Drosophila melanogaster: one gene and its partner. The protein of the gene in region 2 purifies or fractionates together with the protein of the main gene of each other region. This does not show direct contact. Each region holds a gene or a part of one and is shown on either strand. Other genes may lie near its edges.

Evidence for each region. The genes of interacting proteins can lie anywhere in the genome.
Region 1: the proteins of Idgf4 (region 2) and Obp44a purify together in Drosophila melanogaster (affinity purification with mass spectrometry, with the first as the bait; one large-scale study listed by BioGRID). This does not show direct contact.

Annotation. Positions count from the first base shown.
Region 1 is NT_033778.4:8,133,604-8,137,359, reverse strand, and holds Obp44a (Odorant-binding protein 44a), read left to right. Parts: upstream 1-2,044; 5' UTR 2,045-2,348; coding exon 2,349-2,393; intron 2,394-2,463; coding exon 2,464-2,850; 3' UTR 2,851-3,190; downstream 3,191-3,756.
Region 2 is NC_004354.4:9,928,760-9,932,515, reverse strand, and holds the start of Idgf4 (imaginal disc growth factor 4), read left to right. Parts: upstream 1-1,567; 5' UTR 1,568-1,608; exon of another isoform or gene 1,609-1,635; intron 1,636-2,041; 5' UTR 2,042-2,043; coding exon 2,044-2,161; intron 2,162-2,783; coding exon 2,784-3,344; intron 3,345-3,458; coding exon 3,459-3,756. UniProt on the Drosophila melanogaster protein: Cooperates with insulin-like peptides to stimulate the proliferation, polarization and motility of imaginal disk cells.

The DNA.
Region 1 (3,756 bases), on a different chromosome or scaffold from region 2:
GTGCTTACCAAAAATGAAATATCTATATTATGCATAAGCTTAGCCAGGATTCGCGATTGCCTTGGTTCCATTATCATTTCCTTTCGATCGTTTCTAGTTAAATGGGTGGTTTAAGTTGTAATCAAAATTCAGTTATTAATAGTGACTACTATAAGTATGTTCCTTTGAGACTCCCCGCAGGTTCGTAGATGATGCATATTCCAGACGGCGCATAGGAGTTGTGATTTTGATTTCATTATTTTTCGTATGTGATCATTTAAATTAAGTTAATTGTGATGAGGTTTTTATTTGAAGTTTTTATGAAAACTGTGCTCTAAACCTATGTATACTTAACTGATAGTGTTTCAATACCAATAAATGCTTCAAATTCAAACAAAACAAGTCAAGTCTATATACAATTCTCTGTTTGTGTCTGGAAACCACCTGCACCTGCCTGGCGTCTGGCATACGAATTATGAGTTGACTGGGGACGACACTCGATTCCCAGGCGGCTTCTCATGTTGCAGTGGAAAGTTCTCGCATCTGGCTGGGGCACCTCCATGATCCGAGCCGAGAGCCGCGGGTGCGTTGGCAGCGGGGGGCATTTCATTTGTCAACGTAATTTTGCCAATTCAATTAATGCTCATTTAATGCAGAGCAGGCCGACCGGCCAGCCTACAGCATACACATTGGTGTACAATGGCCCACGGACAACGAAGTGGGCAGTTAAGTGGCCACAAACGGTCGGTCATGCAAACTCAGTGGCAGATCCACAATTACTTTTCCTAGGGGGCACAACTCTCCTAGTATGTACATATGGGGGAATTACGAAAAGCACAGTTTTGCGTATGTGAACATGCCTTTTGGTTCCAAAGTTCTATGAATTTTATTTTCCATTTAAGCCAGTCGCTAAAAAAAAAACCAAAATCTGATTTATACAATCAATAATAAAGACATCAACTAATGACATGAATAATGATTTTGGTTTTGGTATAAAATTGTTTTATATATTCTTAAACAATCGAACGAGCAAGTATGATAACTCAAAGGAATTCCAAATGAAGTTATATTACATCGATGTCATTTCCTAAAATCACGAATATAGCATAAGATAGTTCTATCCCGTGGACCACACCTATGTGATTTGATTTTGGATTTTATACTAACAAGCAATGGGAATCTGAACCGATTTTTCTGCTTATGCTAATGCCACAACTTATATCAGAATCAGCTGATAATATTTCCATTTGAAACTTTGTTGTATAAATTATATTTATTAATAAGAAAAAAAAGAAGGTATATTGACTTTGGCCGGAAAGACGAAACATTTGCGAGCATATAAAGAATATACGTATATTCATGATCAGTATCAGCAGCCAGGTGGATTTCGCTATGCCCACCAGTTCTACTACGCAAACTCAGTTCTACAGATATCTAAATGAAACTACCATTAAAGTTTGTTCTCTAATACTTGTCAGGTAGTATATAAGTAGGAACGGGCCGGATTGGACTTGGGCCATTGCATCACTAGGAATATTCGAAAAAAATGTTGGTCAAAAAGTATTTTAGTTCGGTTTTCGGAATTTTTTAAACAATATATAATTTTGGTTTTAATTTGGTAAAAATCCGACGAATATATATTCCGAACAGTCGGAAAAGTAATTGAAAATGGCAGAAATTAAATCACAGTTCATTTTGATTCACTATGATCTTTATGCGGAATAAAATCTTAGTTTTGATATATAAATTGTGCAATGATATATATCTTTCCTTCCTGTTCTCTATTTAAATTTGGTAATGCGTTCTCTTGGAATGCTAATGTAATGGATAGAAAAATCAAATTAGCTCATCATATAAAAAGAAACAATATAATTGTTATCCTCTTTAACCAGAAGTAAATGCCATTTAAATAAAAATTTTTTTGCTTCATGATAATGGTATATACAAAACTAAGAAAAATTATATCGAGAAAATTACTACTGCTGAACAGTAGTAAAAACCAAATACTGCATTCTAACATTAAGACCAAGCCGAGCGGCATAGCCGCTCTTCTCTATTGCCAGTATCCCTGCAAACTCTTCAATCCTAGATATCATTTTCATATATCAGGTAATCCTTAATTTCTCGTCTCCTCAACAACCTCGACATTATCAAAAAATTCCATAATGAGATTTAAATTACGCCGGCGAGTGCAACTCAATTGAGCGACACTCAAAATCGCCCCACAGTTGAGTGCGACATACCCACATTGAGCGGGGCTCGAAGGTATAAAAGCTGGAGCAGCCCAGACCACAGTCAACAGTTTCCTCCGAGCGAGCATTCAGTCCTCACACAATCTATCACAGAAGCCAAAAAAAATAAGATTCACCATGAAGAACGCTGTTGCTATTCTGCTGTGCGCCCTGCTGGGTCTGGTAAGTGTTGCAAGGAGACAGAAGCCGATGGCAGCCAGTAATCTAAATTCATCCGTTTGCTCCTCGACAGGCCTCTGCCTCCGACTACAAGCTGCGCACCGCCGAGGATCTGCAGAGCGCGCGCAAGGAGTGTGCCGCCAGCAGCAAGGTGACCGAGGCCCTGATCGCCAAGTACAAGACCTTCGACTATCCCGACGATGACATCACCCGCAACTACATCCAGTGCATCTTCGTCAAATTCGACCTGTTCGATGAGGCCAAGGGCTTCAAGGTGGAGAACCTGGTGGCGCAACTGGGCCAGGGCAAGGAGGACAAGGCCGCGCTGAAGGCCGACATCGAGAAGTGCGCCGACAAGAACGAGCAGAAGTCGCCCGCCAACGAATGGGCCTTCCGTGGCTTCAAGTGTTTCCTTGGCAAGAACCTGCCCCTCGTGCAGGCCGCCGTCCAGAAGAACTAGGAGTTCAGCGCAGTTCCACATCAATTCTAGAAGCGAAAGATCAATCAACACGCAAGCAACGCGGCATTTTCGAGTTGAAATCCGCTCAGGCTCTGCAATCCTACGATTGAAATAAAACCATATAATAGTGCTTTTGAATGAAGAATGTTCTTTTTATTATTCACAATATTTCTGAGGGCTGGAAGAGAGGTAGGGCTGCTGGTGGTGGCAGGAATCAAGCTGTTACTCGCATCCTCAATCCCAAAAAACCTTGTCCCGCCCAAAGGAAAGGCATTGATAGCTTATTTAATTCGATTATATTTGTCTTCATCTTTTTCGCTTTAGTAAATTCAACTTCTTTTCTTATCTTCTCTTTACTCTATATATTTTTTTTTTAAATATATAAATTACACACGCACTTTTTATATATTTTGTTGATTTACTTCTTTCCCAAGAGTCTTGTGTTCTTTTGATTTTTTTTTTATATTTTCTTCCTTCTTTATTTGCTTTTGCCATCTTTTAACTTCTTTTATTTGGGGTTTGTGGTTTCTTTTGCGCTTCTTTTATATATACTTATTGTTGTATATACTTTTTTGTTTTTTAAATCAACTTCTTGTTTTTCATAATCTTTTTTTTTTTTTTGATGTTTTATTGAAAATTAAAATGTGTGAAAAGGGGGTGTTTGGTGTTGGGTGCTTCAAAAAACATTATAGCCAAGTCAAGATATTCGTTTTCCTTGTTGATTTTTTATTATTTTCGAGGTCTCTTCTTTTCGCCTGTTTTCTTGCTGCTGATGCATTTTTTATTGAAACGATATTTTTTCTGGCGTTTTCTGTTGCGATTGTTTTCTCTTTTTTATTTAGCAAAGAAGTTTGGCAATAAAATAATGTTTTTTGAAATTATATTGTAAAAAAATCTGAAATCAAA
Region 2 (3,756 bases):
GTAGCAAATTAAAACTAAATATGAGACTAGAGACGGACCCAAATCGGGCCCGTCCATCATCTAATGTATACGTATCTGTATCTGTGCTTGTATCTGTATCTGTGTGTGTTTGACCTCTCTGGCCGCTGACATAAATTGATAAAGTCGGCCGATTGGCGAGGCGATGCCATGAGTAAACATTTGAGAACCGAGCCGAACTAAAACATTCAAATCGAAATCAAAATCAAAATCGAAAATGAAAACGAAAACGAAAACGAAAACGGAGGCGACAATGCAGCCAGTGTTTATTTATTAAAATCAATTTTTACACAAATTAATAGAGCAGGCGGCGAAGTCGTGGAAGTTGAGTTTACTTTGTCAATTTGCGATTTATATGCGCTGTACGATATTTTATTTCGCTTTTCGGCAACTTATCCTCCATCGAAAATTCAAAAATAAACAAATAAAGCAGCTGTCGCTTTAATGGGGATATATCTACCTACACACACACACACACACACATACAGTGAATATAGCTTAATAATGCCCGACGCGTTGGCCTGATTGTATAATTGCTCGAGCGATTCCCGGTAACGATGACATCACGACGTTGGTGTGGTAGGGGGGAGGGGGGAGGGCGGCGCTTAAAACAGGCTCTGGCAGAGAAAAAACCGAATTACAAAAAAAGCTGATAGCAAAAATTCATTACAACAATGACAGACACTTAATCACTTAATAGAGAAAATCAAAAACGAGAGCAGATCAACCAGGCTTTGTGGCGCTGGTGAAATTTTTGCGGCTAAGCTAGATTTAATTACGGATTTCAAACGGAGATAACGAGCTATTCAAACGAACGGCCTATAAAGTATAGTTTAAGGCTAATCAAATGTATTACAACTAATTTAATTAGTCTATCTACACTTTGGCATTGATCCCTAGCAGATATTTACAATTTATTGAGACTGATTAGGCTTTATAGATAAATATATAAAGAAGTTAATAGCTATATCCATTAGAGTAAGCTTCGAATATTAATCACTTCATTAAAACTGTATTTTAAGTTTTTTCTTATTACGTTTTTTTTTTACTCACACTAAAAAATCTCAACCACTTTAAATGCAATTAATGACAAATCTGTAAAAAGTGATTAACTGGAGAGCTAAGAACACAATATTTCAACCCAAATTGGTGAAGGTTATTTGCTCTGCGATGATTAAAGTTTTCAAAGCTCTCGAAATCAATTGATATTCTTCCATCATCCAGATCATTATCGTTTATCAATATGCGTACTTATGAGTCGCCCCTCGTTTCGCAGCTTGGCTTCGCTTGTTTTTGTTTTTCCACACACATTTCTAATTTTTTTGTTTTTGTTTGCCAAAGTTCTCTATCTCCATCTCTATACCCCTCTGTTCTGTTTGCTCCGATCTTATGTATTTCCAAGCCGAGTTTTATTCTCGCTGCGTTCGCTTTGCCCTCGCTCTTCTTCGCTCCCGCCGCCGCAGCTTCAGCGGTCTCTCGCTCTTCCCTCTTCGTCTTGCCCGGTTTCGTATTCTCAACGAGTTCACTTAAAGTTTGGATCACCTCCGCCGGCGAACAGTTTCAGTTTTACCTTTAATGCGAGCACAACAAGTCAGTGGAGAGTCATTCTAATATTCCGTTGGTTTTTTTTTTTCTGTGATCTGAGTTCTTTGCGCCGTGTGATAATTTATATAGTTTTTATGGCCAGGAACTGGAACTATAACTTCTTTGATATACACGTATAATAATCCGAGATTTGGGCTTCTTAGAATTCCATTTTGTTTGATTCTCTAATGATGTATTTATTTTATATGGTTCAGCTTCTTCTTCATAATTCTTATCTATTAATAGTCTTCTAAGAATATAACGTGCCTAGTTTTTTGAATTCAGAATCACAGAATGTTAAAATAAGTCATTTTTCCATAATAATCAGGCATACAAAATAACCTAAAATCTTAAAATCTCACACATAATGTGGGTTTACTCTGGAACTTTCCAACAGTTAACAGTTTCAATATAAATACATATATTTTCCTATTCACAGCTATGAAGCTCTACGCCCTGTTCTCCCTTCTGGTGGGATCTTTGGCCATTGGTCAGATTTCCGCCGCCGGATCTCATCATCTACTTTGTTACTATGACGGCAACAGTTTTGTCCGCGAGGGTAAGTCCCACTTCTAGTTCGTTCTTGGCTATATAGTTGATAAGAATCGGGGTTATCGGTGGAAGGAAAATGTACATATATTACCCGTACGTATGTACATATACATATGTGTATTTTGAAACCAAGAGATAGAGAGCTGCGCGGACTCAATTCAATTAGATGATTTTCACTTTTCATAGACACATGCTAAAAGCATAAAGCGGTGTACTTTTTTGCGATTCTGATAATTGGCAACGGGTCACAAGATCAGAGGGGAATGTTTTGCAACCAATTTGAGTAAATTGCATATAGAGAGGAAAGCCCACACAAAACGCCAGACTTGAACTAATTGAAATTGGCATCGGGTGTTCGACGATGATGATTCATGACCAGAGGTGCCACCTCCAAGGCGCTAATTGATGATGCAAACCGAGCTTATTTTAGTACACTCGAATTTTCAGCTGCCAGTGGAAGATTCACTGAATATAAAGTGTTGGCAATATTAAACACATGCTTTTTCGGGGACAACAATCAAATTTATTGATTAACTCAACGCTTCCTGTTAACAAAGCATTAGTATAATAAGCTTTTACATTCATGAATATATTTCACAATTTCCTTATTCTAAAATGAACATCAACAGGCCTCTCCAAGCTGATCCTAACCGATCTGGAGCCCGCCCTGCAGTACTGCACCCATCTGGTCTACGGATATGCCGGCATTAATCCCTCGAGCAACAAGCTGGTCAGCAACAATGAGAAATTGGACCTGGATCTGGGCAGCAGCCTGTTCCGCCAGGTGACCGGATTGAAGCGCAAGTACCCAGCCCTCAAGGTCCTGCTTAGCGTGGGTGGCGACAAGGACACCGTGGATCCAGAGAACAACAAGTATCTGACCCTGCTGGAGAGCAGCAATGCCAGGATTCCGTTCATCAACAGTGCTCACTCGCTGGTGAAGACCTACGGTTTCGATGGCCTCGATCTCGGCTGGCAGTTCCCCAAGAATAAGCCAAAGAAGGTGCACGGCAGCATTGGCAAGTTCTGGAAGGGATTCAAGAAGATCTTCAGCGGTGATCATGTCGTCGACGAGAAGGCCGAGGAGCACAAGGAGGCCTTCACCGCCCTGGTTCGCGAACTGAAGAACGCCTTCCGTCCCGATGGCTACATCCTGGGTCTCAGTGTCCTGCCCAATGTGAACTCTTCGCGTGAGTTAACATAAATAATTTCGATTGTATTAGATTTCATTTAGTATGTTTTGTTCGAAAGATTGCCCAGCATATTTATTATATATTCAATATGTTTTTGTTTATCTGGTTTAGTGTTCTTCGATGTGCCCGCTATTATCAATAACTTGGACTACGTGAACCTGCACACCTACGACTTCCAGACCCCCGAGCGCAACAACGAGGTGGCCGACTTCCCGGCACCGATCTACGAGCTGAACGAGCGCAATCCGGAGTTCAATGTCAACTACCAGGTGAAATACTGGACCGGAAACCGTGCTCCGGCCGCTAAGATTAACGTGGGCATTGCCACCTATGGACGTGCCTGGAAATTGACCAAGGATTCGGGACTGACTGGACTTCCACCGGTTGCCGAGGCTGATGGTGTGGCTCC